2 linked regions of the Caenorhabditis elegans genome follow. The protein of the gene in region 1 interacts with the protein of each later gene in a pairwise test. Each region holds a gene or a part of one and is shown in the gene's direction. Other genes may lie near its edges.

Evidence for each region.
Region 2: the proteins of myo-1 (region 1) and itr-1 interact in a two-hybrid assay, tested with the Caenorhabditis elegans proteins (one study listed by BioGRID).

The regions. Positions count from the first base shown.
Region 1 is NC_003279.8:7,260,100-7,275,758, reverse strand, and holds the start of myo-1 (Myosin-1), read left to right. Parts: upstream 1-8,701; 5' UTR 8,702-8,823; coding exon 8,824-8,892; intron 8,893-9,472; coding exon 9,473-9,745; intron 9,746-10,122; coding exon 10,123-10,465; intron 10,466-10,517; coding exon 10,518-10,622; intron 10,623-10,674; coding exon 10,675-10,842; intron 10,843-10,889; coding exon 10,890-15,166; intron 15,167-15,214; coding exon 15,215-15,419; intron 15,420-15,468; coding exon 15,469-15,659. Other genes in the region: Putative tyrosinase-like protein tyr-3, read left to right, coding at 31-195, 248-363, 455-527, 578-689, 1,396-1,468; twk-1 (Potassium channel domain-containing protein), read left to right, coding at 3,586-3,678, 4,427-4,522, 4,695-4,854, 4,907-5,061, 5,107-5,745, 6,144-6,251, 6,297-6,401. UniProt on the Caenorhabditis elegans protein: Muscle contraction.
Region 2 is NC_003282.8:7,669,864-7,685,599, forward strand, and holds the start of itr-1 (Inositol 1,4,5-trisphosphate receptor itr-1), read left to right. Parts: upstream 1-5,310; coding exon 5,311-5,389; intron 5,390-6,668; exon of another isoform or gene 6,669-6,818; intron 6,819-7,615; coding exon 7,616-7,718; intron 7,719-9,309; exon of another isoform or gene 9,310-9,455; intron 9,456-11,493; exon of another isoform or gene 11,494-11,561; coding exon of another isoform or gene 11,562-11,605; intron 11,606-11,845; coding exon 11,846-11,989; intron 11,990-12,042; coding exon 12,043-12,250; intron 12,251-12,409; coding exon 12,410-12,559; intron 12,560-12,961; coding exon 12,962-13,249; intron 13,250-13,295; coding exon 13,296-13,454; intron 13,455-15,736. Other genes in the region: C08G9.2 (uncharacterized protein), read right to left, coding at 1-303, 388-567, 615-1,047, 1,094-1,197, 1,245-1,436, 1,497-2,189, 2,648-2,717, 2,834-3,016. UniProt on the Caenorhabditis elegans protein: Receptor for inositol 1,4,5-trisphosphate, a second messenger that regulates intracellular calcium homeostasis.

The DNA.
Region 1 (15,659 bases):
TAAAAATATTTTTTACTTAATTTTTTTCAGAGTGTTCTGATCGTCACACCAACTGCGCAATGTGGTCTCGGTCTGGGGAATGTAACAAAAATCCGCTTTGGATGTCAGAAAATTGTCGAAGCTCTTGTCAAAAATGCGGCCGATCAAGAGCAGCAACATGTGGAGGAGGTGGTGGAGCTGATAGTATAAGCAATCGTAAGCCATTTACTTTGCTTGAAATATAATGTTAATCTGGAAGGAATTTCAGCAACAACGATGCCGCCTGCAACAAATAATGGACAACAGAACACTCCTTGTGATTCACCGATGTGCTACAATGAGGATCAATGTTGTCCTATTTGGGCACAACGGGGACAGTGTAGGGTGAGAAATTAATCTTACTTTTTACTGCTTCTACCATTCCATAACATCACATTTCATGACGTAACTTCTACCAGAACATTGAAATTTTCAGTCGAATCCTGGTTACATGACATGCCAATGCAAAGTGAGCTGTGGAGTGTGTCGACCAAATTATGTTTATGGACGTGAGTAACGCTCAAATTGACTTTCCAGTCATAATATTAAAATTTTTCAGCATGTGCAGATTATCACTATGATTGTGCCGCATGGGCGAGAAGAGGAGAATGTCTAAAAAATAAATGGATGCCTGAAAACTGTAGACGTTCGTGTAACACTTGCGTTAATCAGTAAGTTTTTTATTTTAAAAATGTGGCGATATGCCGGTCCTGATGTACCTGACGAACCGGACTGAAACGGATGTCCGGCGTCCGCGGTTTCCGGATTCACGTGAATTTGGTGTCTGGTATTTTGCGGTGTGTATACATAGCCTTGATTTATAAATTTTTAGAACGAGACTGTGTCATGTCTTTAGTCTCCTCCAACTAAACCTTGAGATCGGTTTGGCTCAGCTTATTCAACTGTATAAACTTGGTTCTTTGCAAGACGGCCGCGTTTAAACCATTTCCAAACTTTTTACCGAAGTTCTGTCAACTTCTGCGCCTAGTTTACTTTTTTGGCAGATGTTTGACTGACGCGAAATTCTAAGTTGACAACAAGTATAGCAAAAGTCTTCCGTTCTACTATTTTTTTTCCGAAGAGATGCGATATTTCCACTTCTCTTAAAACACTTTTTTAGAAACAATTTAGATTACAGTATTAAAATATGCACTACTATCAAAGAATACTATACAATTTCTACGAGATTTCCACTTTTTTCATTGATTTCGTAATTTTTGCTGTTGTTCAAAAAAGTGTTGCTTTGTGAAGAAACACTATTGTGTAAAAGTGCAAAAGTGCAACAGGAGGCTTTTTGTGAACTTTGATCCAGAAGAAAGAGTCCATACAGTTTCTCAAGGACACTATTCCCACATGTGATAATAATACATTTTTTAGACAGCAGCTGGCTGCCAGATGTGCGACAAGAATAGTTCGAAGCGCATTTTTGGAATTGATTCGCATGAAGTGACCGGAAGGTTTCTGTCATTTTTTCAAACAATTTTCACATTATGATTGCCACTTTAAAACATATAAACATTTCACATCATGACGCCTTTCCTTCCGGTTCAGACATTTTTCAGATGTTTAGAAAACAGTTTTTCTCGTTTTTTTTTCGTCAAACAATTCCTCTACATTTTCTGTGACGAATGACACAGGTGGTTGACCATCTATCAATTCTCATTATCAGTTGACGATACTTTTTTTTCTTCAATTCGAGAAGCTGCAGAAGGCGTCGGTCATCAAACAGTTCTCTTCTTTTTTTTGATTTGAGACACCGATTTATTTTTTGAATTTAATTCAATATGACGCACTTGACACCCATTGATTCTAACACCAATTACTCGAAAAAACGATAGAATTTTTGGTGTTTTGTGTTGGATTGTTGTAAAGAGGAAAAGGTGACTGAATACTCACGAATGTTATGAGTCATTATATTTTTGTATGTTTTGTCATTCTATTACGTACAATTATAAGAAGAAAGTCTATGTGTACCATTTTAAACTAACTCCATTACACTTTACCTTCAAACAAATTTTTTTATAACAAGAGCTTTTATTTTTATTGAATCTTTAACATTATTCCACAGTTATCGGCAATTCCTGAAGTAATCAACTTGAGCAATGTGATGGCATTTCTGTATATTTTTCAAAAATTATTTTGGGACGCAACAATTGCCTACTGTGAAAATTTTGGTAATTGTTCGGCAATCGTTAAAAAAGAATGTTTTTTGAAATGTGATATGTTTTTGATTTTATTGAAATCGAATATAAACACATACTGAAAATGCAGTGTTAATGGTTTCTCCCACAATCTCCCATAACGTAGTATAAAAATCCAAAAATCCATTTTATCCTAAAGATTGGGAAAATGTATTCAAATTTTAACTTATCAAGTAATCAATTAAACAGTAACTATTCATAAATTCTATATTTACTTTGTTTTTATTCCAATCGTTCAGCCACTAAACACCGTTTCATCATAAATCTTATTGAATTATTTTTGTATATCGTTTCCGTTGTTTCGCCCCCTCTCATACCGCCATTGGTTCTAAATATAGCCAATCTCATAGAATCTTGTCAAAACTATCAATAAGAGAACATAAAAGATACGGAGAAAAATAAAAAGTTATCTGATGCGCAGATGATAACGCCTGAAGTGTGAAGTTTACAGACAACGTCCGATTTTTCGTTAATTTGCAGCCGTTTTTTTTTTCAATTTTTGACTGAACTTAACTTAAAATATTTGCTTTTTACAGAAAATCCGCAGTTTATACAAGACTTCAACATTTTAGTCAAATGCAGGTATTTCATTTTGTGAAAGCAAACGAAAAACTAACTTCTTTTTTAATATTTTTCATTTTGAGGTTAAAAATACTGGGCCTATTTTTTTCAATTTTATACTTACTATTAGATTTAAATTTTTAAATAAAAATTTATTAAAAAAATTTAGCTCAGTTTCACCGAAATTGAGTCCCAATTTTTGTTATCATTCCATTTTCTTCTCTGAAAGTTTAAAATAATGGGGATTTCAAAAAATATGGAACCCGATTTTTCACAGAATTCATTTTTATCGACTTCGCAATTCAGCCAATTTTCGAAACTACTGGAAAATACTTGAAAACCAGTTTCTTATGTGACCTTTTCAACACATCCACGTGGTTCACATTTTATCATTTCGAACTTTCCTCAACAGAGGCTGAAGTGATGTGTGTGTTAATTTGTGCAATAAAAAATAAACTTTTCTATCCTTTTACCACCTCAAAACCAGTTTTTCACAATTCGAATTCCATTTTTTTTTCAAAATTATCAGAGACTTACTTACCTATGTGTCATTTGTCAGTGTCTCTCAAAATTCTATACTATTTCTGACAAATAGCCTCTCATTCTAATTACTGGTCGTTTTTTGGACTAAAATGAGGGGTCAAAAGATTGGAAAATAAGACAAGTTTGTCATAAACGGCAAATAAAAACTCATTGAAAAGAGACCCGGCCCCTTTCAATACATTTAGTATCAATTCTCCAAAAGTTTATGATCCTCGTTTTCGATGTTCAGTGTGTTGCGAGAGACGGTTTATTTGCAGGTAACATGACTTTCAACGATGGTGACAACGATCGGATTGGAAAAGAAGAAGAACATGCTGGATTGATTGAAAATCAGATTATTTCACAGAAAACGAAGGTGAGCATTTTGACAATTCACTAGAAAAACAATGGAGAAACTATTTGAACTAAATATTTTTCCATACAAATATATCCGAGAGACGAAAATTGTTTTGAAATTTCGGCACTTTGGCAATTGCAGATCACGAAACATTTCAAGGTTTTAAGGCAAAAACAATTAATCTTATGTATGGAAGCTGCAAAATGTCCCGGCTTAAGGTTTCGAAAAGAATTCTTGTGAAATACGGTTCACAGAAAGTGAGAAATGCAAACATCTCATCATTCACATATGACAATGACCAAAATTTTTCTAAAAACTCTCTGAAATACGATTTCAACAAAATTATAAATTTCCTTGTCCTGCCAATACTTACTTAGGGTTACTGTAGAATAAATATTATTGTGGAAGTACTTACTTCCTTTTTCTATTTTCAGTGGTTTCTAATTAGAAATTCAAGTTTTCGTCAAAACAAAACAACTTCAGTAATTATTTTTTGAAACGATGACTCAACTAAACAGATCAGTTTTATTTTCAAAAATCGTTGAGAGAAATTTCAAGTGATCATATTTTTATAGTTTGTGTTTAACTAGAATATAATCAATGACCATCTCTCAAACTTTTGCAGTAAATCTTCTCATTTTATGAGATCAATTATTTCCGCTAGCATCTTTATCTTAAGATATCACCATCTTCCAATATATTTTCAACGAAACAATTTGAACCTTCCAATGATTTATCAGTTTTATTTTTAATATATATTTTTTAGAAACAATTACCATCCTGGCTGGATCGTCCATATCATGTTTGGAGGGATCAGTTTCAACAGGATAAATGTTGCCCCAAGAAAATGGTTAAGCGGGAGGTGAGCACTGGGACATTAACCAGAAAATTATTTTAAAAACAAAACCACTGTAGGCAAATGATGCTCAGGCGGAAGATTTTAATTATGAACAATTTTCTAAAACATGAAAATCAGAAATCAATTTTTTTAACGTGCTGGTAATATTTTTGAAAAATAAAGTTCAAATTTTCAGTTAATGTTTGCCTCGACATATGTTCTCATTCTGAACGTTGCGTTAATTCTTTATGTTCTATTCGGATGTCAAGTCTTCGATCTGCGACATTCTTCGACAAATAATGAAGCATCCTTCTTGGATAGAGCTCTTTTCTGCATTACAACAATTTCAACAATTGGTAAATATGATACTTTAGATCTCAAATAAAATAACTATTTGAAAACTGACAGGATATGGAAACATTGCTCCATTTGACGATCGAGGAAAAGTAATTTGTATATTATATTGTGTGGCTGGAATACCATTGTTCTTCATGACTGTTGCAACGAATAGTGTACTTGTTGTAGATATTTGTAATATTGTACACAGAAGTTATAGCTCACAGGTAATCTTTATATTTGAATTTCAGATGTTTAACAGTAATTTTCAGAACGTGGAGAACTCCGGATTTCGATGGTATACCTCTGCAATTCTTCTAGCCGCTCATTGTTTTATTGGAGCTCTCATATTCTCACTGTGGATCGATCAACTTGACTTTCTAGATGCATTCTATTTTAGTTTCATTTCGATTACAACTATTGGATATGGAGATTACTCCCCAACTCCAGAAGGACTTTTTCAATATATAATTGTAACTGTATACCTTTGCACTGGAGTTGCTACAATGCTTCTATTTTTTGCAAGTCTTCAAAAAGGAATCATGTGGATTCATTACTATGGAAGAAAGGTTTCAGATTCAGAAGAAGCTGAAATTTGGTTTGGAGGGCAAATGATGACTGTCAAGGATTTGGTCACTTTGGTGGCTGAAAAGTTTGGATCAACGCCGGAAAAACTGAGGGAAGTATTACATGATCTTGATAAGATATTGGAAGTTGCATGCAAACAAGCAGAGGAAGATGACGATGAAGAAGATTGGAGATCAGTTAATAATTCGGAAGCTTTATCTCCTCCTGCTCCAAGAAAGAAGACAGTTTTCTTATCAGGATCTTCCGATGGAGATGATTGTCAGGCAACGATTCATTCCTTCACAAGTACTAATCAGAGAAGTATTCCGAAGGATACTGAGTTGGTAGGTGATAACGGAAATATTACGGGAAATTCAGAAAAACAGAGTTTTCTTTAAAAAAAATTCCGTCCAAATTGGAATATTTATTTGAGGAGACAGAAATTCCCGACTGAATTTCCAGTTGCACCATTTCCTTTGAATCAAAATGTTCCCTCATGGTGATATCTACTTTACTTCAAACTTTAATTTAATTACTTTAAAAATAGAAACTCATTAAATGTTTCGGAAATTTGCTTGGAAAGTTCTTTATCCGCGGCTATATATCCCGAACTTACTTTTTAGCGTCCTTCCTATTTTATTTTTCGTCGTTTACTTTTTTTTTTGGCCATAGGAGCATTTTTAAGTCTACCATACGCTCCTTTAGATAAAAATATATAATTTTAATTTTCAATTTATTTCAGGCAATTCTTGCCCTCGGCACTATTCAACATCATTTGAGGAAACCATCAGTTCGAGGAATACACGGTCACCACCATCATCCAAAGATTCCATTTTCTAAACCGGCCTCTGTAAGTTAACTGAAATTGCTTCTAAGTGATATTTCATATGTTTAGGACAGCAATATTGAGTCAAAAGAAGCAATTACATCACTTGATTTACGGAAGAAAGCTCATCGGGTACACAGTGATGGTCGACTTTTACTGCAACAAGATGTGTAGATATTCTGCAATTTTAGATTTTTCGAAACAAAAAAAGAAACGGATATCAATAATGTGTTACTTTGTCAATTCACCTGGTCAAAACAAGTGGCTTTAATACGTAATTTTTTAACGAAAGAAACTCATTGTTCTGATTGTATTATTTCTATGGAAATAAATGAAACATTTTTCCCCAGCTGACTACGAGCTTAATTTTTCGTTTCAGTATTTGGAAACAAACTTGAGAACATAAAGTCATTTTATTAATAGGTTGATAACTGTATGTAGTAGAAAATAGTAAATTGACAGCATATTGAGCGCAGTCATTAAACAGTGGCATTCTCTGGTAAAGGTTAAAGTGGGAATAGACTCAAAAAGGTCTTAAACTAACTAATTTCATTATTCTTTAAAAAATATCGAAAATGTTGGGAATATTTTTGCCATCAGAATCCTTTTTGCATATATATTTATTGTAATTTTTTAATTAACTTATCCTTTGAATTTTTTAAGAAAAAATTCTGAAACAACATTTTCTAGTAGATCAGCAATACTTACAAGGAAAAAGAATGGTACATGTCACAGAAATCTTAGAAATTTCGAGAGTCTTCTTAAAAGTTTTTAGAAACTTTAATTTTTTATTTCAATTTGCTGAGAAACAAACTAATTCAACTTTTCGTGTTTCCAGACTGTTAACTAGGAGAAAATGATTTCAATTCTTGGTCGATGTACATACTTGATCGGTGTTCCCGTGTTCACTTTGAATTTCAGGGGGTGGCCCCGAGAACAAAGATGAATAAGAGGAGCGAAAATCTCAAAAAGAAACAGACACACACACATTTACGCACACACATACAAATACTGTGTGAGAGATATAGATGGGGGAGAAATTGGGCAAATATTACTATTAGAAAAACGAGAAAAATTCGAAGAAAAGGCGAGCGGAGGATGCGCAGAAGTATCCGAGTGTGGGATGGGGGAGCAAAGACATGGCACAAAAAAGTCGAGAGATTCGGTGAAACTTCCTTCACCAATGCCACTTGGTCTCTCATCATTATTACAACACATTTTTGGAGAGAATGGATATGAAAGTTAGGTTAAGCTACAAAAAAAACGTTATTTGCAACAGTTAAAAAAACAGGTTTCTCAAACAATCTATAACTAATAATCTGAAAAGTTAATTCCTAGCTGGGAGACTAATATCTGATCAGCACATAATATGTCCAGAGAGATCTTCGCAGCAGTGATATTGTGGCACACATCCCCAACGAAGTCGGCCACAATGTGCCAAACGCGCCTCGCAGTGAGTGCATTGCGGATGCTCGTTTTCGTGAAACACATATCGTACCGGTCCTCAATCGAAATGAGTATGCGCACATCGCGAATGAACTATGCGAATACAAAATAGTGATTTTTAAATGAAAACGTTAAGGTTGAATATCATGGTTTGACAAAAAAAATAAATACTTATAAAATTGCTTGAGGTATTAAGGTACACTATATTGAATATTATTTGGCAGCACAGTTTCTATATAACATTTTCTCATGTTAAATTTTTTGATGGATTTCTGAATTTTAATGTAGACAAATGTTTTCAACGACAAAGCATCCAACTTTGAATGTACTTCAAAGAACACGATGGAAGCAAAAATATTTTTTTAAACTCAAAACGTCGCTTTTTTTAAAATTTTTCTAAATAATTGTGTCCAAATCCGATTTAGATCTATTATTATTATTCGGATTTCTTACACAGTATTCATTAATGTTCTAATAGTGTTGTTTCTAATAATAAAATAAGACCAGTTTGCTGGTCCAGGTTACTGAAATCACTGATTCCAATTTTTTATACAAATATAAGTAAACTAAGAATGAATCCCTTAATTTTTTTTCTACATTTTTTTATCTACTCCCACAAGTTCCAAGCGCTTACTCTCAAAAATCTCTTACGTATGTCTCTATCCAATAATAATGTGTGCTCAAAAAAGCGCGGGCTCATTCCGAAAGAACCCCCTCCTCTGATTTTTTCAACAAGTTCTACAGTAATCTCTTCGTTTCTCAATTTAACATACTCTTTCGATGAACCTGAAAGATAAAGTACTTGGACTGGCGACGCAAAAGCTCAAAACGTATGGACAATGCACATCCAAGAGACGTTTGATGCTCTCGGCAACAGTTCATTGTGTGGATATCGGAGAGCCCCCTTTCTTGCGCACGGGCGCTAAGCAAGAGAGGAAGATGAGGGGGAGTTTGAGTTGCTCCGCCCTATGAAGTGTGCCGAGTGAAGCTCTCTCTTGTGTGTGCCAAACTATTATCCGTCCCTGCAGAGCACAGTAGTGTGGAGCTGTGTGCAGTGCAGCAGTAGGAAGAAAAAGAAGAAGTCACCCACCTGTTTAGCCTCATTTTTCAATTAGCCGTTCGTTTTAATTTCCACTGAAACAAATCAAGAATGTCGCTCGAACACGAGAAGGACCCAGGATGGCAGTACCTGAAAAGGTCGAGAGAGCAACAGCTCGCGGTAAGATTTTACTTCTTTCATTTTACTTTCTACTTTTTCCTAGGTTTACATTCGACGTATTTTTTCTCCTCATAAATCCTAATCTTCTCAAATTCCAAAATATTCGAAATTTATCTGAAGTCGCTGCTTTTTATACACTTCTAATAACGAATTGTTCCTTCAGTTTTGAACCTAATAAAATACCGTATTTTCCCAATTTGTCCTTCTCTCGACAAATAATATTTCATCTATTTTGAGTATAGAAACAATTCAATTTAATTTTCCAACTAGAACAAGATTCAATCTTTATTTTACTTGTTGAATATGTTCTGATAAACTTTAAAATGAAACTTTTTCAATTACAATAGAGTTATTTTAAAGTGGTTAAGTGAGCATTTTTACAGCAAAATATTAAAAATTGTTTCTTGGCTACTTTTTTAAACATATTTTCAAGGTTCAATCTCTTAAAATTCTTACCGGTTTTTCGGTAGATCGTTATTTTTAAAGCTTCTAAACTTCACCGTTTTGATATTTAGGATAATAATTATTTTATAACTATGTATGAATATAAATTAATTTTTATATTTTTTTTATTTTACAGGATCAATCCCGCCCATACGATTCGAAGAAGAACGTCTGGATTCCAGATGCCGAAGAAGGATACATTGAGGGAGTTATTAAGGGTCCAGGACCAAAGGCCGATACTGTTATCGTTACCGCCGGAGGCAAAGATGTAACTTTGAAGAAGGATATCGTTCAAGAAGTCAATCCACCAAAGTTCGAGAAAACCGAAGACATGTCCAACTTGACTTTCCTTAATGACGCCTCCGTTCTGTGGAATTTGCGTTCCCGTTACGCTGCTATGCTTATCTATGTAAGTTTTTTCAGTTTCAAAAAACTTCAAATAGAAACACGGAAAAAAGATCTGCGAAAATGCGTAGTTGGATAGGCAAATAGTGCGCCCACGCAAAAGTGGCAAAATGCTATCTTAAGTGGATCGAGACAGACGATGAGAAACAAAGAGAGTCATGCTCAATGTGCACAGTGAGTAAAGAGAAAATTTATATTGGAATTTTGGACTGAAATTGGAATGGTACTAAAAATATGTGATTCAACAAAGGCAGTATTGAGAATATAAAAATATCGTTCCAAAAAATAACTAAATTTGAATACTACTGAAATTTAAAGAAGTAAGTTCTATAAAAATGGGATATTGACTGAAACAAAATGTTCCAATTTGCCCATTTTCAGACCTACTCTGGACTTTTCTGCGTTGTCATCAACCCATACAAACGTCTCCCAATTTACACTGACTCTGTTGCTCGTATGTTCATGGGCAAGCGTCGTACCGAGATGCCACCTCATTTGTTCGCTGTCTCTGATCAAGCCTACCGTTACATGCTTCAAGACCATGAGAATCAGTCTATGCTTATTACCGGAGAATCTGGAGCCGGAAAGACTGAAAACACAAAGAAGGTTATTTGCTACTTTGCCACCGTCGGAGCTTCACAAAAGGCTGCTTTGAAGGAGGGAGAGAAGGAAGTTACCCTTGAAGACCAGATCGTTCAAACCAATCCAGTATTGGAAGCTTTCGGTACAGACATAAATTAAAAAATTAACACTTGTCTGATAATTTGGTTGTTTAGGTAACGCCAAGACTGTCCGTAACAACAATTCTTCCCGTTTCGGAAAGTTCATCCGTATTCACTTCAACAAGCACGGAACTCTTGCTTCCTGCGATATTGAACACTGTAAGTTGATAATAATGATAAGAAGTTATTACGAAAATCGTAAATTGTTCAGATCTTCTCGAGAAATCTCGTGTCATCCGTCAAGCTCCAGGAGAGCGTTGTTACCATATCTTCTACCAAATCTACTCAGATTTTAAGCCACAACTCCGTGACGAGCTTCTTCTCAACCATCCAATTTCCAACTATTGGTTTGTTGCTCAAGCTGAGTTGCTCATTGATGGTATGTTTTGTATTTCTGGAGAATGAGATTAACTTGTTTTATTCCAGGAATCGATGACACTGAGGAGTTCCAATTGACCGACGAGGCCTTTGATGTTCTCAAATTCTCGCCCACCGAGAAGATGGATTGTTATAGACTCATGTCGGCTCACATGCACATGGGTAACATGAAATTCAAGCAACGCCCACGTGAGGAGCAAGCCGAGCCAGATGGCCAAGATGAAGCTGAGAGAGCTTGTAACATGTACGGAATTGATGTCGATCAATTCCTTAAGGCTTTGGTGTCTCCAAGAGTCAAGGTCGGAACCGAATGGGTATCCAAGGGACAGAACGTTGATCAAGTTCACTGGGCTATTGGAGCCATGGCTAAGGGGTTATACGCTCGTGTCTTCCACTGGCTTGTCAAGAAATGTAATCTTACTCTTGATCAAAAGGGAATTGATCGTGATTATTTCATCGGAGTACTCGATATTGCTGGATTCGAAATCTTCGACTTCAATTCCTTCGAACAGCTCTGGATTAACTTCGTCAACGAAAAACTCCAACAATTCTTCAACCATCACATGTTCGTTCTTGAGCAGGAAGAGTACGCCCGTGAAGGAATCCAATGGACATTCATTGATTTCGGACTTGATCTCCAAGCTTGTATCGAGCTTATTGAGAAGCCACTCGGTATCATCTCTATGCTTGATGAGGAGTGTATTGTTCCAAAGGCTACTGACATGACTCTTGCCCAGAAGCTTACCGATCAACATCTTGGAAAGCATCCAAACTTCGAAAAGCCAAAACCACCAAAGGGAAAGCAAGGAGAGGCTCACTTCGCCATGCGGCATTACGCCGGAACTGTCCGTTACAACGTGTTGAACTGGCTCGAGAAGAACAAGGATCCTCTCAACGACACCGTTGTCTCCGTCATGAAGGCTTCGAAGAAGAACGACCTTCTTGTCGAAATCTGGCAAGATTACACCACCCAAGAAGAAGCTGCTGCCGCCGCTAAGGCCGGAGGTGGTCGCAAGGGAGGAAAGTCTGGATCTTTCATGACTGTATCCATGATGTACAGAGAATCTCTCAACAAGCTCATGACTATGCTTCACAAGACTCATCCACATTTCATCCGTTGTATCATTCCTAACGAGAAGAAACAATCTGGAATGATTGATGCCGCCCTTGTGCTCAACCAGCTTACATGTAACGGAGTGTTGGAAGGAATTAGAATTTGCAGAAAGGGATTCCCCAACAGAACTCAACATCCAGATTTCGTCCAACGTTACGCTATCCTTGCCGCCAAGGAAGCCAAGTCATCGGATGACATGAAGACTTGTGCCGGAGCTATCCTTCAAGCACTTATCAATCAAAAACAATTGAATGATGAACAATTCAGAATTGGACACACTAAAGTCTTCTTCAAGGCTGGAGTTGTTGCCCACATTGAAGATCTGAGAGATGACAAGCTTAACCAGATTATCACTGGATTCCAATCTGCCATCCGTTGGTACACTGCCACTGCTGATGCCGGAGCAAGACGCAAGCAACTCAACTCATACATCATCCTTCAACGCAACATCCGTTCCTGGTGCGTCCTCCGTACTTGGGATTGGTTCTTGCTGTTCGGAAAGCTCCGTCCACAACTTAAATGCGGAAAGATGGCTGAAGAAATGATCAAGATGGCTGAAGAGCAAAAGGTTCTTGAAGCTGAAGCCAAGAAGGCCGAATCTGCCAGAAAATCTCAAGAAGAGGCTTACGCCAAGCTGTCCGCTGAGAGATCAAAACTTTTGGAAGCTCTCGAGCTTACCCAAGGAGGATCTGCTGCCATCGAAGAGAAGCTTACCCGCCTCAACAGTGCTCGTCAAGAAGTTGAGAAGTCTCTGAATGACGCCAACGACCGTCTTTCGGAGCATGAAGAGAAGAACGCTGATCTTGAGAAGCAACGCAGAAAGGCTCAACAAGAAGTTGAAAACTTGAAGAAGTCGATCGAAGCCGTAGATGGAAACTTGGCTAAATCTCTTGAGGAGAAGGCCGCCAAGGAAAACCAGATCCATTCCCTTCAAGATGAGATGAACTCTCAAGATGAGACTATTGGAAAAATCAACAAGGAGAAGAAGCTTCTTGAAGAGAACAACCGTCAACTTGTCGACGATCTTCAAGCTGAAGAAGCCAAGCAAGCTCAAGCCAACCGACTTCGTGGAAAGCTCGAGCAAACTTTGGACGAAATGGAAGAAGCTGTTGAAAGAGAGAAGAGAATCAGAGCTGAAACTGAGAAATCTAAGAGAAAGGTTGAGGGTGAACTCAAGGGAGCTCAAGAAACTATCGATGAGCTCTCCGCCATCAAGCTTGAAACTGATGCTTCCCTCAAGAAGAAGGAGGCTGATATCCATGCTCTTGGAGTCAGAATTGAGGATGAGCAAGCACTTGCCAACAGACTTACCCGCCAATCCAAGGAAAATGCTCAACGCATTATTGAAATCGAAGATGAGCTTGAGCACGAGAGACAATCTCGCTCCAAGGCTGACCGTGCTCGTGCTGAGCTTCAACGCGAGCTTGATGAGCTCAACGAGAGACTTGACGAACAGAACAAGCAACTCGAAATCCAACAAGACAACAACAAGAAGAAGGATTCTGAAATCATCAAGTTCCGCAGAGATCTTGACGAGAAGAACATGGCCAACGAAGATCAGATGGCTATGATACGCAGAAAGAACAATGACCAAATTTCTGCCTTGACCAACACCTTGGATGCTCTTCAGAAGTCTAAGGCTAAGATCGAGAAGGAGAAGGGAGTCCTCCAAAAGGAACTCGATGACATCAATGCTCAGGTTGATCAAGAGACCAAGTCTCGTGTTGAACAGGAACGTCTTGCCAAGCAATACGAAATCCAAGTTGCCGAGCTTCAACAAAAGGTTGACGAGCAATCGAGACAAATCGGAGAGTACACTTCCACCAAGGGAAGACTTTCCAACGACAACTCCGATCTTGCTCGTCAAGTTGAAGAGCTCGAGATTCATTTGGCTACCATCAACCGTGCCAAGACTGCATTCTCTTCTCAACTTGTAGAGGCTAAGAAGGCCGCTGAAGACGAGCTTCACGAGCGTCAAGAGTTCCATGCTGCCTGCAAGAACTTGGAGCACGAACTCGATCAATGCCACGAGTTGCTCGAGGAGCAAATCAACGGAAAAGACGACATTCAACGTCAACTTTCCCGTATCAATTCCGAGATTTCTCAATGGAAGGCCAGATACGAAGGAGAAGGATTGGTTGGATCTGAGGAGTTGGAAGAGCTCAAGAGAAAGCAGATGAACAGAGTTATGGATCTTCAAGAGGCTCTTTCTGCTGCTCAGAACAAGGTCATCTCTCTCGAGAAGGCCAAGGGAAAACTTCTTGCCGAAACCGAAGATGCTCGTTCAGATGTTGATCGTCACTTGACTGTCATTGCTTCCCTTGAAAAGAAACAACGTGCTTTCGACAAGATCGTTGATGACTGGAAGAGAAAGGTTGATGATATCCAAAAAGAGATTGATGCCACTACTCGTGACAGCCGTAATACCTCGACTGAAGTCTTCAAACTTCGTTCATCCATGGACAACCTCAGCGAGCAAATCGAGACCTTGAGACGCGAGAACAAGATCTTTTCGCAAGAGATTCGCGACATTAACGAGCAAATCACCCAAGGAGGACGTACATACCAAGAGGTTCACAAGTCTGTCCGCCGTCTCGAACAAGAAAAGGACGAGCTTCAACATGCTCTTGATGAGGCCGAGGCTGCACTTGAAGCCGAAGAGAGCAAGGTTCTCCGTCTTCAAATCGAGGTTCAACAGATCCGTTCAGAAATCGAGAAGAGAATTCAAGAGAAGGAGGAGGAATTCGAGAACACTCGCAAGAACCATCAACGTGCCCTCGAGTCCATCCAAGCTTCCCTCGAAACCGAAGCTAAGAGCAAGGCCGAGCTCGCCAGAGCCAAGAAGAAGCTTGAGACTGACATCAATCAACTCGAGATTGCTTTGGATCATGCCAACAAGGCTAACGTTGACGCCCAGAAGAACTTGAAGAAACTTTTCGACCAAGTCAAGGAACTTCAAGGACAAGTCGATGATGAGCAACGCAGACGTGAGGAGATCCGTGAGAACTATTTGGCTGCTGAGAAGAGACTTGCTATTGCTCTTTCTGAAAGCGAGGATCTTGCTCACCGCATCGAGGCATCTGATAAGCATAAGAAACAACTCGAAATCGAACAGGCTGAACTCAAGTCTTCCAACACTGAGCTTATTGGAAACAATGCTGCTCTTTCTGCCATGAAGAGAAAGGTTGAGAACGAGGTTCAGATTGCCAGAGTGAGTTTATTAAACGGATTGTCAGATTTTAAAAAATAAAACTTTCAGAACGAATTGGACGAGTACTTGAACGAGCTTAAGGCTTCAGAGGAGCGTGCCCGCAAGGCAGCTGCTGATGCGGATCGTCTTGCTGAAGAGGTCCGTCAAGAACAAGAGCATGCAGTCCATGTCGACAGACAACGCAAATCCCTCGAGCTCAACGCCAAGGAACTTCAGGCTAAGATCGATGATGCTGAACGTGCCATGATCCAATGTATGTTACCAAACAAAGTATTCTAAAGTCGAAAAATTGTATATTTCAGTCGGTGCCAAAGCATTGGCCAAGGTCGAGGATCGTGTTCGTAGCCTGGAAGCCGAGTTGCACTCTGAGCAACGCAGACACCAAGAGTCCATCAAGGGTTACACCAAGCAGGAGAGACGCGCTCGTGAGCTTCAATTCCAAGTCGAGGAAGACAAGAAGGCGTTCGATAGACTTCAAGAGAACGTCGAGAAG
Region 2 (15,736 bases), on another chromosome or scaffold:
CAAGTTTATGACACCAGTGAGTTGAAGTTGGGCATTCTTCATCTTTTGTACAACTTTCAGCATTTCCAATACTGGAAATATATGGCTCTCCGGCTGGACAAAAGTTCAGAACACATCTAGGTTGTGGAACACAGTTTCCCTTCTGATAACATTGAATTGAGCTCATAACGCATACACTTCCTTGTGGACATTTTACTTCTTTGCATGGATTTTTGCATTTACAGGTTGGACAGGAGTTTGATCCTCTTTCAAAACCAAATGGGCATGCTACTTTACAAACCAGTGGTTCACATGGGTTTCTACCTGAAAGCGGAATAATTAAAAAAGGTCAGAGAAAATATCTATGCTAATATTGTAGACGCATCTGGAAAGTAGTGCTCGACTCACTTTCACAGTTCGGTTTTCTTCCAATGGCTCGCGATCCGGGCAGCTCTTCTCCAGTTGCTATGTCCACACAAAAACATCCTTCATCGTCACATTGGTATTGTTCAAAATTTCCTGCCCTGTCACACTTCATTGCATTTCTTAATGAATACAATTCAGCTGTCAATGCAAGATGAAAGCAAGCTGAAAATGATGTAGTTGATACCAAACCCAACGAATATCAAACTCACGGGTGCTCCGAACTGGATACATACACGAAGTTGAACATCCTTGTCTACAACATCTCTTCATTCCAGCACATTGAGAATCAGAATGACATTCAGTTGCACAGCTAACATTTGATGCAATGATATCAATACAATCTGCTACCAAAGAGCTCAAATGTCCCTTGTTATACTTCTCAACATCGCCCGGTTGGTAATGCATCACTGGCTCAATTGGTTTCAATGGTTTTTTCAGAACATAATCTTCAGGCTGTGTGCAAGATAAAGTGCAGCCATTGAAACAGCATTTCTCATCTTCAGAGCATTCGTGATCCGAGTGACATGAATTATCAGGGTAGATGAGACACTTTAATTTGTCAGCGGCTTGGGAAGGACATCTTCCGTCTCGTGTAGATGACGCTGGACCCGAACAACAAAATCCAAGTCCATTGTAGCCAATCTGAAAGTTCTATAAATATGCACACTTCTTTCAAAGTATCTAGTACCTTTGAACAAGTTCCTTCGGGACAATCTTTATCAATAGAACACAATGCTGTAATTCCATTTCCAAGACGAGAAGGTGGTCCGTGCCTACATGGGTTCAACAGACCTGAAACAAACTTTATATATCTTTGAAGTAACGTTTTTGAATCAAACATCGCGGAACAGGGAGACATGGAGGATTTGCACAATCGGGCTCAACCAGCTGACACTGCTCCCAAGTATTTTCACAATTAACATTTCTACAAATATCCACACAAGAACATGATGCAATAGGACATCCGAAAATGTCCATAACGTGTCCATGAGTACATTGATTGTGGCACTTTTTCGTACATAAACGGGGTTCTAAAAATCAATAGTGTAATTGATTTTCTCCAAAAATATATGTTCCAAGACATCAAATACCTCTACACATATCAATCCTTCGTTGTTCTCGACTTATTCTTGTACCAGCTATCTCTGAGCCATAATGTACATCGACACACCAACAAAACTGAATATCACATTGAATTGATGAGAATCGTCCGTTTCGTTCGCAAAATGGAACAAATTCATTTGGAAGTCTTTTATCTTTTAATTTCGAAATTGCTAGAACCATATGAATACATCCAGTTGCTTTGAGAGGTTCCATACAAGTTGATCCACATGCATTTTGACAACATTTATCAACACTACCACAATCCAAATCATTTGCACATTGTTTTTGATCAATGCATATTGATTTATTTGATGTTGGAGAAGGACATTGACCGACTTTTGTTGTAGGAAGTGGACGAATTGGTGAAGGAGTTGGAAATAGAGAGTTCGCAAGATTTCGTATCGTTGGTGGAATTGGAGTTATATTGAAATGAGTTGATCCAATATTTGATACAGCTTTAATGAGACGTTGAAAGGAACCAGGGATGTTATTAGATGATGAAGAAACTGGTTGAATTGGAACTTCTCTGTCGATTTGAAAACTTTTAGCAATTGGAGCAACACATTCTCGTCCACATCCGTTCGAGCAACAGATCAACCGACCACTACAATCAGAGTCTTTTTCACATCGAAGTGCACATATACCACCAGTTAATCGTGGGCATTCTTCTCGATTTGATCCTGAATCAAAAAATATGTAATGAGCTTTCATACTTGAAAACAAAAAATACAAAAATTATGTTATCAAAAATTCATTTTCAATTTTGAATTTTCAAAAAATTTATCTTGATTCTTGGAATTATCTTGAAATTAACTTTAATACATATGTACATTTCTTTTTTGTAATTTTGAAGAAATTAAATGCATTTTTTAGTTTTTCTTGTTAAGGACATGAGTTGATTTTTTATTTTTTGAGAAATTCTAATATAGAAGGTTATTATGTGATGTAACCGTTGTTCGTTTTTTTTTCGTTTTTCAATTGTCTTTTATAGAAAATCGAGAAAAATCTTTGGCAAAAAAGGAACAGAGTATTCACAAAAACGTGTCCGAATACTAGCTTAGCCGTGTAGTAGCCAGATAATTGTCACTTCTCTTCCCAAAAGAGACTGGTCACGCACCATAATTGGATGTACACTTACCGAACTTTGGAATGCAGCGTGCTTTCACGCCAATTGCAATGCAACTTTCTGATGGTCCACAAATTGTCGTCTAAAACATTAATATAGAAAGTAAAATATTATTAAGAACAATTATTTCTCGTTAAATATATTATAGAGTGTTAGAAGAATTCAAAAAAATATCAGAGATCTTTCAAAAAGCCTAACCTGGCAAGGATCCATTGCACATGTGCAGATACATTGTTGAAGAATATCTTTCAAATATCCAAAAGGGCATAATAAATTACAACTGGTTGGACGGAAAGGACATACATTTGGTACACTTGCCGGTAAAAGGTCTATAGAAGACGACAAAAATGGTTTCAGAATTAAAAGATACAGTAACCACATAATTGCTCATTTGACATCCGGAAGTGATAAGAATAAAAGATGTGATGGTCAATTTAGGATAGTAAAAGATGACAGGTGGATTGAGGGAAAAGAGACAGGTTACTTCTGTTGAGTGGACACATTGCAACCCCCGGCCACCACCGCCACGGACACGCCGCCCACTTTTGCGGTGTGAGGTGCGAAACTGTCTTCCGACAGATTTGTAAATATTACGAGGAAGTTGATGTAATACGGAAGAGGTCCACTGGATTTATGTGAATGAAGAATCAAAAGATTGTAAAATGTTTAGATATGATGAGCTACAGGGTCAAAGGTGATTTGATACACGATTTTCGAGCAGAAATGCTGACTTTTCGAAATCTCATTGTTGTTTAATCAATCACGGGATGTACGAAAGGGATCTTGGTTTTGGATTTTTGAAAATCAAAATATTACAGGAAAATATAATGCAAAACTAGTACAGACTGTGAAAATGTTTCTAACCTTGATTTCTGCTCCGTCCAACTGTGAAATTACATTGTGTGTCAATTTCAAAAACGGTACGTGATTTTTTAGTTCTGGTTTTTAAGTGAACTTTATGTATATGAGCTCTGAAAACAGGAAAATAAGGGAAAATTAATAAGGTAGTCAGAATGAAATATTGCAATTCGAACATAAGCATTTAGTTTGAAACAACCCGTATTTCCCTTATTAGTTTTGTAGCTTCTAGTTTGTCATGCACTGATTTTCCGACAGACCGGCTATACTCTGTGGGAATTTCCGCAAAAATTAAATTTAAAATTAATAGATGAGATGTGGTATGTAGTTTTAAAAAAGTCGATGGATTCAGAAAATGCTCAGAAAAATCCGCGCATTAATTTCCAAAACTATCACATTTCAGAAAAGTATCAAACATCATATTTTTGGAGTCCAATACTACTTCTTCATTTCTTTTTTTTTTTTCTTTTCCACTAGTTTTACAATAAAATATATTGTTTTGTCCTAATGAAGCACATTTCATTTTGTAATGTTTTTTAACTTTCTACTGTAGGATATTCTATTCCGTAATCGTACAAATCTTCTTTCTCTCCCAAATTTAGGCTGCGCCCTGTTTCAAAGCTCTGCTAATAGTACGCAAAACAAATGTATTCGCTAACTCTTTCGCTCATTTCGGTATAAGTGTCACTTGGAGATCTCTTCGTCTCTCGCAACCCGTATTTGTATTGTTTATCTTCCAAAATGGTAGTCGACTGCTCATATGAATTGAATTACTAGCGGGATATGAAAGAGACATGAGATTTATAAAAAGTAACTGAATATTTCAACTTTTGAAATTGAACTTGTATCATTTTCGAAACTAAAATGGAAAAACAGGAACGATATTACTTCATTTTTCCACTTAAAGATGGAGTAGCAAAATTTGGGTGATTGTTTTTAGAATCAAAATTGATCCTAAATACCTATTGAGACAACTTGAAAATGTCTCAAAAATTATTGTATTAGGTTAGTCATTCTCTAAAAGAAAACGGGCAACCCTTCAAGTATTAAATCATTTTGAGCTTGAAAAGAGAGAACATTGTTCATTAAAATTCATGTTTGGGCTCCTAAATCTACAAAAAATATCACATTTATATTTTCGGCAATTCTGATTTCCTGTAATCGACAATTTCAGCGATTGCCGAAATCGTCGAAAAGTCGATTACCGAACGGCAATTGCTGCATGCTATGTATCACACCGTTTCAGCGTTGTGTATCGTATTTGTTCAAAGATAATTTTCTTGTAAATCTCGATGTTATTGACTACTGCAGCTAATACATTTGAATTCCCATTAATTCCTTTAATTTGATAAGTGTGACTTGGTTCCCGTTGCCCACCATCTTTTGTTCCTTTCCTCCTATCTTCAAATCAAACGCATCTGGAATCTATTTTTTTCATTGTTGTCTGTCTACCGATGCCAACGATCTGACCTTTCTTAATTGGTATTCGCGCTCATTTTGACATTGTGTCAACTTCAACTATTTGCGCGGGTTTACCTGCAAAAAAGTAAACAAGAAAAATGGAGATGAAATGAAAGAATTTCCAATAGAAATTTGTTGTTGAAAACTCTCTGAACCATGAGACCGTCCAAGACGTTAACATCAAATCTTTTCAATTCAGAAACGTTTCCTCTTTTTCTCCTTTTGTGACACGTTTCCTCCGTTCTTTTTTGGAGAGTCACTATATTTTTAATACGATTTTGCTTTACAATTTCTTTTTTAAACTTTTATTGATTTTGTGCTTCTTATTTTCCATTTTTCATAAAAAGTATTCCAGAATGAATCCATCATATGGCCGGGTTCGTAAGAAAGTATCCATTATATCTATTCCAGAGTTCGTTCCCGAGCATTATGAATGTAAGTTTTTACATTAAAAAAAAACTTCTAAAATCTGCTTCAATTAACGATCTTATTTTTTTTCAAATTTTCACCGATAAACTTAAATCTAATTGATACGGTTAGCATTGATGAAATCACTGAAAAATGTACAGGAAACTCAGAACTTTCTCAGTTTCAATGTTTCTTTTTAACCTTAAAGGTTGAGTAGCGAACTATATTTATTGTTCTCAAAATTCAAAACCAACGTCTAAATAGTCTCAAATTGAGCCTAACTTATTTGGCCAACGCCCCAGAAAAAAAACCAACAAGAAACACTTAATAAAACCACCAAAATGTGTAAAATGGAAGTTAAAATTACCGGGCGCCATTTCACAGGATATGTTTTGTTATTGTTCGTGTTAAAAGTTGGTCCATAAAGTAGATTTGAATATAAAGCCAAACTTTTGAGAACCGGTTTTGATTTTGACTATGATGAAAGAGTTTTGAATTAAAAATATTTAAAAAAAAAACACTTTTTTTCAATTCTTCTAGAAAAAGTGCATTTATTGACTCACCGTTAGAGCATATCGATAAAACAATAGACAAATACAATCATATGGGACATCAACCAGCAAAACACTTTAAAACACATTTTTGTTCCCGGAGGTCTCTATTTTTTCTTGTCTTTCAAAAGAAAAGGGGCACCTGTAAGCGGCTTACGTACCGTCTTGGTTGTCTATTGATGTATGTGAGGCATATACATCTATTTCATGAATGTTTCAACAAACAAAATATATACCGATTGTTGTGTCTCTTTCTCTAATATTTTCCTGGTAAACGATATGCATAAATTTCTGTTTCTCTTTCCTCTTTCCACACATCTGTTCGTATTATTTTACAAAATGAACTTACAGATGTTTTTTTGTTGTCTCGTTGGCATCGTAACTAATCGAAAATGATTGATGTTCGAACACGAATATCATTATATTTATTGTCGTCTTCATCTTTTTGTCGAATAGTTTGTATCGTTGATTTCTAACATTAGACGTCATCGAATCGTTCATCAAATTGTCGACCTGATCAATTTCTTTTTCTCTCTATTTCTCTTTACACAACTTCAATCTCTGAACTGTAAATTCCAAATTCGATTAAAAAGGCTAGAGAGTTTGATCGTTCTGGTTTGTGACTGAATTATTTGATGAAAGATCTAGTACGATTAATATGTTCATTATCAAAAGCTAGATGATCATTATTTGCCATTTTAATTCAAAAGAGGAATGATCCAGAGACAATGCATGAAGGAAATGATAATTAACTTGAAAATTATTTGGTATAAACGCCTTAACAGGTTGTGAAAAATTTAGGAAAATACCGAAATCGACAATCATAATAAAACACTCCACAATTTTTGATTTGGTGAAATTTTGTAAATTGTAGATTTTTCAGAAAGTTTGGACTTTTTGAGTAATTTCGAGCATTGCTACAGATGTGAACCTCTAGAATATTTGAATAAAAATAATTTCAATTTTCATGAAATTCAAAATTTTATAAAAATTGTTAACAATTGCCGACTTCCAAAATAGGTGAAAAAATTAAGTAATTGTCACTGTTTCACTGTAAGTAAAAAACTTTGATAATTTTTTACAAAGCTCTGCTAACTATAAGATATCCGGTAATTTCAATATTATTGGGCTGATTTGAAACAACTTCCTCACTGGCGATACTTTTCATTTAACTGAGTATTAAAAAGCATGAGCAAGTTGCCAACCAACTTTTAAATAAAACATATTCCCGTTCCGTGTATATGTTTTTATATTGCCGTTTCTATTCAGTTTTTTGCTTTCCTTTTTTCCAACATTTTGCTCATAAAACAACGTGCTTCACAGCTGTGATTCGTTGCATAATCGTCTTCAGCTTCTCGCTCATAAAACCAAAATGTTTTAGATGTTTAGTTGTCACTTCATGGTTTTTTTTGTTTTTTTAAATAGCTTTTTTGAGTTCAAATCCTTGCATGTTTCTGAAAATTTACACGCTAACTAACCTATCACTCCTTATTTCAAAATTAAAAACAACTTCCTTAAAAAAATTAAAAACCGTGTCAAATGTGATTTGTGTAAAAGAGTGTGGTGTAGAAGTGACACAGATCGTTAAACTTTTATAGTCCTTTTGCTTTGAGCGTACCGTGCCGTCGATCATCCGATGTGAAGAAATTGTCTAAAAAATGACAAGAAAATGAGAAAATGTTTAGTTTTGCACAATTTTCAGACGAAAACGAAACGACGGCCAGTGGAGGTGCTAGTGGTGGTGGAAGCACACGAATTGAATTTGATTTTGATGATTTTGAGGAACAAATTATGAGGAAATCCAGGTTAGTTTGTATTCTTGAAAAATCGTATTATTCGAAGAATAAATTGAGTGTCATTTGGCTGTTTTGTTACAAATCCTGTTTTACTGTTATCAAAAAAAAAACAATTGAAAAAACAACGTGAATGGCGAGAATATTCCTGTATCAACAAGAAAAAAGAGCCTTTTCAAATTTGTTTGAAAAAGAAGAAACGCTGCTCATTCTCAAGTACTTTGTATATCGAGATGGTCTCCTGGTATCGGTATCACTTTGGAAAAAAGTACAAGGTCGCCGATATAAAAAGGGTGTAATGATCATTTATTTGAGGTATTTTTGATTGGAAAAAATTTTGGTAAACTATTCTCGAGTTATTTTTTTTCTCAAATCATATGTGCTTCTATTTTTGAATTAACTTGGAGATTCGAATAAATCAGTGAACTATTGCAAGCAATACTAACTTCCAATTAAATGTTGAAGTAATATGTATCAATTTTGAATAATAAAAATGCATGTGAACCTGATGAATTTGATTTAAATCTAAAGTTAATGATACGTATTCTTATAACCGATTTATAGTAAATCCTGGCATATCCAGATTCCAAGGTGTATCTCTTTTGAAGGGGAAGTAACAGTTTTGAGTTGTTGCTTGAATAGACTCAAGATTTTCTCAAAATACTGAAAATCACAACGAGAAATCTCGGAAAATTTTATGGCGTTCAAAATTATTTTTTGGTGCAGTCGCACAATTTGATAACCACCTCTAAATAAAAAAATCCCTATAAATTTTAAAATTTATTTTAAATTTTAAATTTTACGTAAATTTTCTGATGAAGTACTTATCGCAATTTGTGTTCCCATACTCCTTTTTTCCAGACAATGGCAAAACTAAATAATCCGTTTAATACTATTAGTTTGATTTTTTAGACTGATAATATTAATTTGCAAACTATCATTGATGATTCTCCTGTTTTAAACAGACTATTGTGGTTAGTTCCGTTTGTCACTTATTAATCCAGAGTTATGGACAAAATTAGATTGAATATAAATTTAAGTCCATTACTGAGTACCTTGTTACTTCCGAGTTTTCGAGTTGACCGAGAACAATATTTGGCGACCTCTGAAGCGTGACGGAGATGATCGAATATTGCTAATATATTTGTTGAACTGTTCATGAAGTTCGTTCATATTTTGATTGTTTCGGTATCATTTCTTTTTCCTTCTCCTCCATTTTTTTTTCCGTCACGAAACAGTGAAATGATTGTGGGCATATCCGCCGAGTAGTAGGCGGACAAGCAAAACGTCATGATATCACCCTTCTTTTTTTCGCCTATTTTCTGTGGTCACTGATTAGCTTTTGACAACCTCACTCCTCTTCATTTTTGCCCATTTTAACTCAAAACACCAACCCATTAACATTTTATAGTTTCCTTCTTCGTGTCTTAACTTTCATAGTTTTGTTTGAGAACTGAAGCACATTTTTTGGCAACTTACTAGAAAGTAATTTTTGAATTTAGGTTTTTTCATAGAACGGTTAAAATTTTCGCGGATCGTCAGAAACATACAGTAAAAATCAGAGGATTTGTAAGTAAGAAAAAAGAAAAAGAGAATAGTTTGATTGTCTGTCTGAATCTCTTCCTCATTCTATACTATTTCTTCCTCTGGTGCAGTGTACAGAAAACTGTTGTAGAGTATGAATAACTAGAGAAAAAGAGTTGTTTGCATACAGATGTAGATTCAATAACCTTATCACTTTCCCCTGGACTTTCTCTGAGTGTTTGTCAATGATTGTTCAATGATTTTGATTTTAGGCGGGACACACATGTTTTTGTTTGTGATAACATATATTTGAGAAGCCATAATTGTGAGAAGAATCACTTATGTGTTCCATTCTTTGTGTTTTCAATACGTGGTTTCCATTTCATTTGCGTCATTCATTTGGCTCTTTCACGGAAATTTAATTCATATCACAGGGGTTTAATTTTGACCGATGAACAGTTATTCGAAACATTTCTGACAGAATTTTCAAAAGACGAACCGTTTTTAGATTGGTCGGTGTAGAACTTTTTGAAATAATAACTGTTCGGTAAAATACTTTTTTTAATCTAGAGAATTTGGCTACAAAAACAGTAATGTTTTTACCCAAAAATTGAGTGAGACGTTCTCGGAACTGTATAATTTTTCTAGCCATATTGATAATTCATAATGATTCGTGTTGGTTCACAAATATTTTTGTCTTGGCATTTCCCGCTAACTTCGTACTAAAGTTTTACCAACGTCTTATAAAACTTTTGTACTGCTGTTGAAAACTTGAATAAAACTTGAGACAGAAAGCATTTTTTTGAAACTAGATGAAACTTAAGAAAAAATAAGTTGGCAAAAATTGTACAAAAAATCTAAAAAAATTCTTAACTCTTATAGAAAGGCAGGACCGTTATAAATCCCGTGGATTTTTTTGTCAGTCGTTTTTTTACAGATACCAATGAAGGCTTTGCTTGAAAGCTTTTTTATATTTAAACAAATTTATTTTGTTTTTTGAGCAAATTCTGTTTAAAAAAAGTGTTATCAAAATTCATTCCCAAATAGCATAACGTAATTAAAAACTCTTTATCTCTCTATCGCTCGAAATATTTACTGCATGACTATTTCACTGCACGTCACTAGACTTAACCTTGCATAATTCACATTTGTAAAGATCACACACAGTTCACTAAAACTATGAAAGCATTTTATACTTGAATTTTGGAGGAAAGTCAGGATCTTTTTATGGTATGCATATGTTTACTCGCAGCTTTGGAAACATCGATTTTTTCTATTTTCTCAATTGCTGTAAATTCGATATTTTATACACAAGTACAAGTAGAAATATTTTGTATTCAGTTAAAAATCCATCAAATTTGAACTGTTGTTTCGGATGGCGTCTGCTGCAATTTTTATTATCACCAGCACCCTTTTCCCTCTTTTTCTCTCTGATAACAATCAATCGGTTTTTCATTTTTTGCAATATGTGCCTCCTCCTCCTCTTCGTTTTTCCTTCTGCTGCTTTTTCAATATGTTGCCATTATTTGATTATTAATTTCATTTTCTGAATTTTTCATTTCACACTTTTTGCAACATCTTTTAATATTAAAGAAAAAAGTCGTTCGGTGACATAAAAGCTTTTTGTTTTGAAAGCTTTGTTGAGATGTAAATCATGGTGCCGCCAACCAAAACTACCTATTTTTGTTCAAAATATAATTGTATGCTTTTATAAAAAATGAAAAATAACAGTCAGAAATTTTTATTTTACAAATTTACGAATTTCTGAGTTTGAGCTGTTCAGTATTTGAAGACCCTCCAATTTTCCAAAAACTCAGAATATTTGACTGAATAATGCAAAAATAAAACCGAGGCGGCCTGTATTGTGTACAATTGCCAGATTTTTAAAAAATTTGATTAAATTAGACGATCAAGGTCTTTCTGCATTTTGCTTTAAATTTTCTAACATTTAAAAAATATTTCAGGATTTTTTTACTATTCTTCTAAGCACTTATTGATATGACTGGTCAGAACCACATTTAACGTTCAAAATTTTTAGTGATATTTGTATTCTATGTAATATTCTCTATGTAATACATTGTATGTAAATTTTTATTCTGAAATTGTCAATGTTCGTTAGTCATCATCACGAATATTATTGTGAAACCCGTTTTTCAAATTGTCATTTCCATTTCTCTCGTTCTCAATTTCCTCTTGTTTTCCCTTACAGATTTTATCTCGACGATACCTTTCTGAATTTCATATATTTGTTACCTTGTTTTATAGTTCCACATTACTTCTCAGTTCTTCTACTACTTCTACTTCTATGCACCTTTCAAACTTCTACACATAATGGACTATGACTATAGGAGACGTGTTCTGGAACGTAACATTGGGTGAGAAAATTGAAGAAAATGAAAAATAAAACAAAAATAAAAAAAAAAAAAAGAAAATAAAACAAAACCGAGAACATCGATAAAATGGGAAATACTGTGTTTCGAGAAGATGGAAACAACGAAAAACTGAAAGAGAAACAAAAAAAAGAATTTTGTGACAATAGAAAAGTGCTAAAAGCACAGTCATCCATTGCTTCTTCTTCTCCTTTTCTTTTTTCTAAATAATTTTATATTTTTCAGCATGGCTCTTCCTAGTCGGAAGTTAACCATTGCCAACAGTATTGATCACGGAAACAATGGAAATTTACATATTGGAGATATTATTTCTCTTTATACAGAATCATCTTCAAATCAAGAACAGAGAGGATTCTTGAGCACACTTGGGTTGGTTTTTAGCTTTTAAAATAAATATCTGAAAATTACTGGAATATTTACAGATTGGTAGACGATCGATGTATTGTTGAACTTAAAGATGGGCGGCCTGAAAGCCCGCCAAAAAAGTTTCGAGATTGCCTTTTTAAAGTGTGTCCTGTTAATCGATATGCAGCTCAAAAGCATTTATGGACCGAGCAAAAGCGATTTCAAACTGGAGATTCAATGTTTGACGATGATCTGATGAATAAGCTGAAAGTTGCTGCGGATAAGGTATCTTTATTGAAATCTGGAATTAGTAATTGGAATTGAAAACTGAAAGTTTAAATCCAAAAAAAAATTCTTTTAAGTGCAACAATACTTAACTAAAGTTTTTTGGTTCTCATAACAGCTCTAGAAGAACCAATAATTTCTTAAACAACATATTTTCAGGAGCGGGAAGAAAACGAGTCTGAATTTCAAAAAACTCTCGGAAACGTTATACAATATGGTTCAATGGTTCAGTTGCTTCATGTCAAATCAAATAAATATATCACAGTGCAAAAGAACTCACCAGCAAAAAGAGAACGAAATGCGATGAAAGTTAGTTTTTTAATTCAATAAATTATTTTTTATTTTGTTAGTGATCAAAAACTTAAATGAACAGATACCTTCTTCACATTATCATCGTGTGAGTTGAAAATGAGTGAAGTTTTCAAAAGGATTTGAGCATAAAAAACGAATGCGGTGATAATTGAATGGAATGCATAAATAACTTTTTAAAATTAAATAACATGTCTGTGAATTTGGGAAACACTTCTAGAATTTAATGGAATGTAGCATCTTTCTAAGTTACCCACATTTTCTCTATGGGTTCAGAACAAGCCAGAAAGCCTAATACAGAATTTCTGGCCAAATTTTGTCAGCATTTCAGTTTTATCAATAAAACTTCTACACTATCGCATTGATTGTTATTTTAAAAAATTGCATTATCTATGTCTTTAGGTTTATCTGGATCGTGCTGGAAATGAAGGAAGTTGGTTTATAATCGAACCAGCATACAAGCATTATGCTATTGGAGACAACGTATCTGCTGGAAACAAGATATCATTGATTCCAAACTCAGTATCCACAACTCAAGCCGGACATGTCAAATCACAGCTTCATCTTTCATCATTCAATCTTCTCGATCATCAATCAGCTGCCGAAGTTAACTGTTTGAATGAACCAACTGAATGGCAGGTCTTTATGTTTTTGCTTTTTGATGAAAACCAGCAGAACAGTGTGAAATCAGTGAGTGTGATTAAAAACTAAACATGCGACTTATTTTATTTTTCAGGGAGATGTTGTGAGATTGTTTCATGCAGATCAGCAGACTTTTTTGACATTAGATACAATTCCAAAGCAGAATCCGCCAACTGATGTAGTTTTTCTAAGAATGACGAATCGACCGTCGGCAGCTGATGCAACAAGTTCGAGGGCATTGTGGGAAGTACAGGTTAGGATTTAAAATTTTTGAGAGATTCTAAGAAAAAAAATAGCAAAAACTCATTGACTCCAAAATCATTGACTACCTGTTCTCATTGCCTACCCTTGCTCATTGACTACCCTTGCTCTTTGCCTACCTCTTTCTCATTGACTACCTGTGCTCATTGCCTTCCTGTTCTCATTGCCTACTTGTTGCTCGTTGACTACCTTTTCTCATTGCCTACCCTTTGCTCATTGTCTACTCGTTTTCTTCATCAGTCAAGAGGCACGTACAAGGACCGTATTCCAAGAATACATCAAAGGTACATCTACTCAATTTGTTCATTCATTCAAAGGGTATACACATTTAAAATCTTTCAATCTGTACACAACATTTCGGGCAACAATTAGTAGTAGCTGTCATGTTTAATTTATATTAATTTTGATAGGACACGAAAAGGCTGGGCAACATTCTTTATCCATCAACATTAATAGCAACAATAGCAACAAAAAACAACAATTAAAAATTTGAAAAAAAAAGTGGCAAAGAACGTAAAATCAATAACAATGAAATTTGGCATAAGAAATTCATTCGGAGTCGGAGTCAATCACTCGTTTTCTGCTTTTGAGCATATAGGAACATGACGCCGTAGTATTAGACATGTCAGACAAGGATGCACTGGAGTTGATGGTGGCTTTCGATCTAAAAATGAAATAACCTCCAAAACTCTCTGAACTGAGTATTTTCAAACTGGCGTATCTCAAAAAATACACATCTGGAAAACAAATGTCCAACTAATAAAATGATCAGAAATATTTTTTCTTTCTAATTCAATAGTTTTTATTTCAATACACCAACGTTTTGTAGAGTTACACGGAGTCAAAGCCATTTTAACAAAATTCACAAAAAATTTTAAGAAGTCATTTGTTGTGCCCTTTATAACTCAACTTTCATTGAATTTCAGAAGATAAATTTTGTTGAATAGTGAGTAAAAAATATTTTTCCACATTTTACCAGTTTCAAGTTTTCGGATATTTTCATGTTCCGCCAAGTTACAGACCGTTTTTCAAAAAAATCCAATTTCGCTTTTAAAATCTTCATATTCAACGTATCGACTTGAAATTTTGAAAAATGATCACTTTTTTGATGTCTCTACAATGTCCTAAAAAATCTCTTTCAAAGAAAACTGTCCATCTCCAAAATCGTCCTTCGCTCCGAAAAATGAAATCGGTCTTTTGCTTCTCGAGAAATGGGCGAAAAAATCAAGTGAAATTTTTTAAAATTTGCATTAAAACAATTGAGACACTGAGCAAACTACCAAAAATTTCACGTGAGAATAAAAATTATGTTATTTTTGTTTAATTTTTAGGTCGTTTAAGAGTAGAAATCACTCAAAATAAACATGAAATTCGTAAATAGCGTGTTCTCAGCTTTCTAAAAATATTTTTTTCGACCCAAAAATCGCAATTTGATTTTTTCGCCCATTTCTCGAGAAGCAAAAGTCCGATTTCATTTTTCGGAGCGAAGGACGATTTTGGAGATGGACAGTGTTTTTTGAAAGATTTTTTAGGACATTGTAGAGACATCAAAAAAATGATCATTTTTCAAAATTTCAAGTCGATACGTTGAATATGAAGATTTTTATAAGCGAAATTGGATTTTTTTGAAAAACGGTCTGTAACTTGGCGGAACATGAAAATATCCAAAAACTTGAAACTGGTAAAATGTGGAAAAATATTTTTTACTCACTATTCAACAAAATTTATCTTCTGAAATTCAATGAAAGTTGAGTTATAAAAGGCACAACAAATGACTTCTTAAAATTTTTTGTGAATTTTGTTAAAATGGCTTTGACTCCGTGTAACTCTATAAAACGTTGGTGTATTAAAATAAAAACTATTGAATTAGAAAGAAAAAATATTTCTGATCATTTTATTAGTTGGACATTTGTTTTCCAGATGTGTATTTTTGAGATACGCCAGTTTGAAAATACTCAGTTCAGAGAGTTTTGTTGTGTACAGATTGAAAGATTTTAAATGTGTATACCCTTTGAATGAATGAACAAATTGTGTAGATGTACCTTTGATGTATTCTTAGAATACGGTCCTTGTACGTGCCTCTTGACTGATGAAGAAAACGAGTAGACAATGAGCAAAGGGTAGGCAATGAGAAAAGGTAGTCAACGAGCAACAAGTAGGCAATGAGAACAGGAAGGCAATGAGCACAGGTAGTCAATGAGAAAGAGGTAGGCAAAGAGCAAGGGTTGCCAATGAGCAAGGGTAGGCAATGAGAACAGGTAGTCAATGATTTTG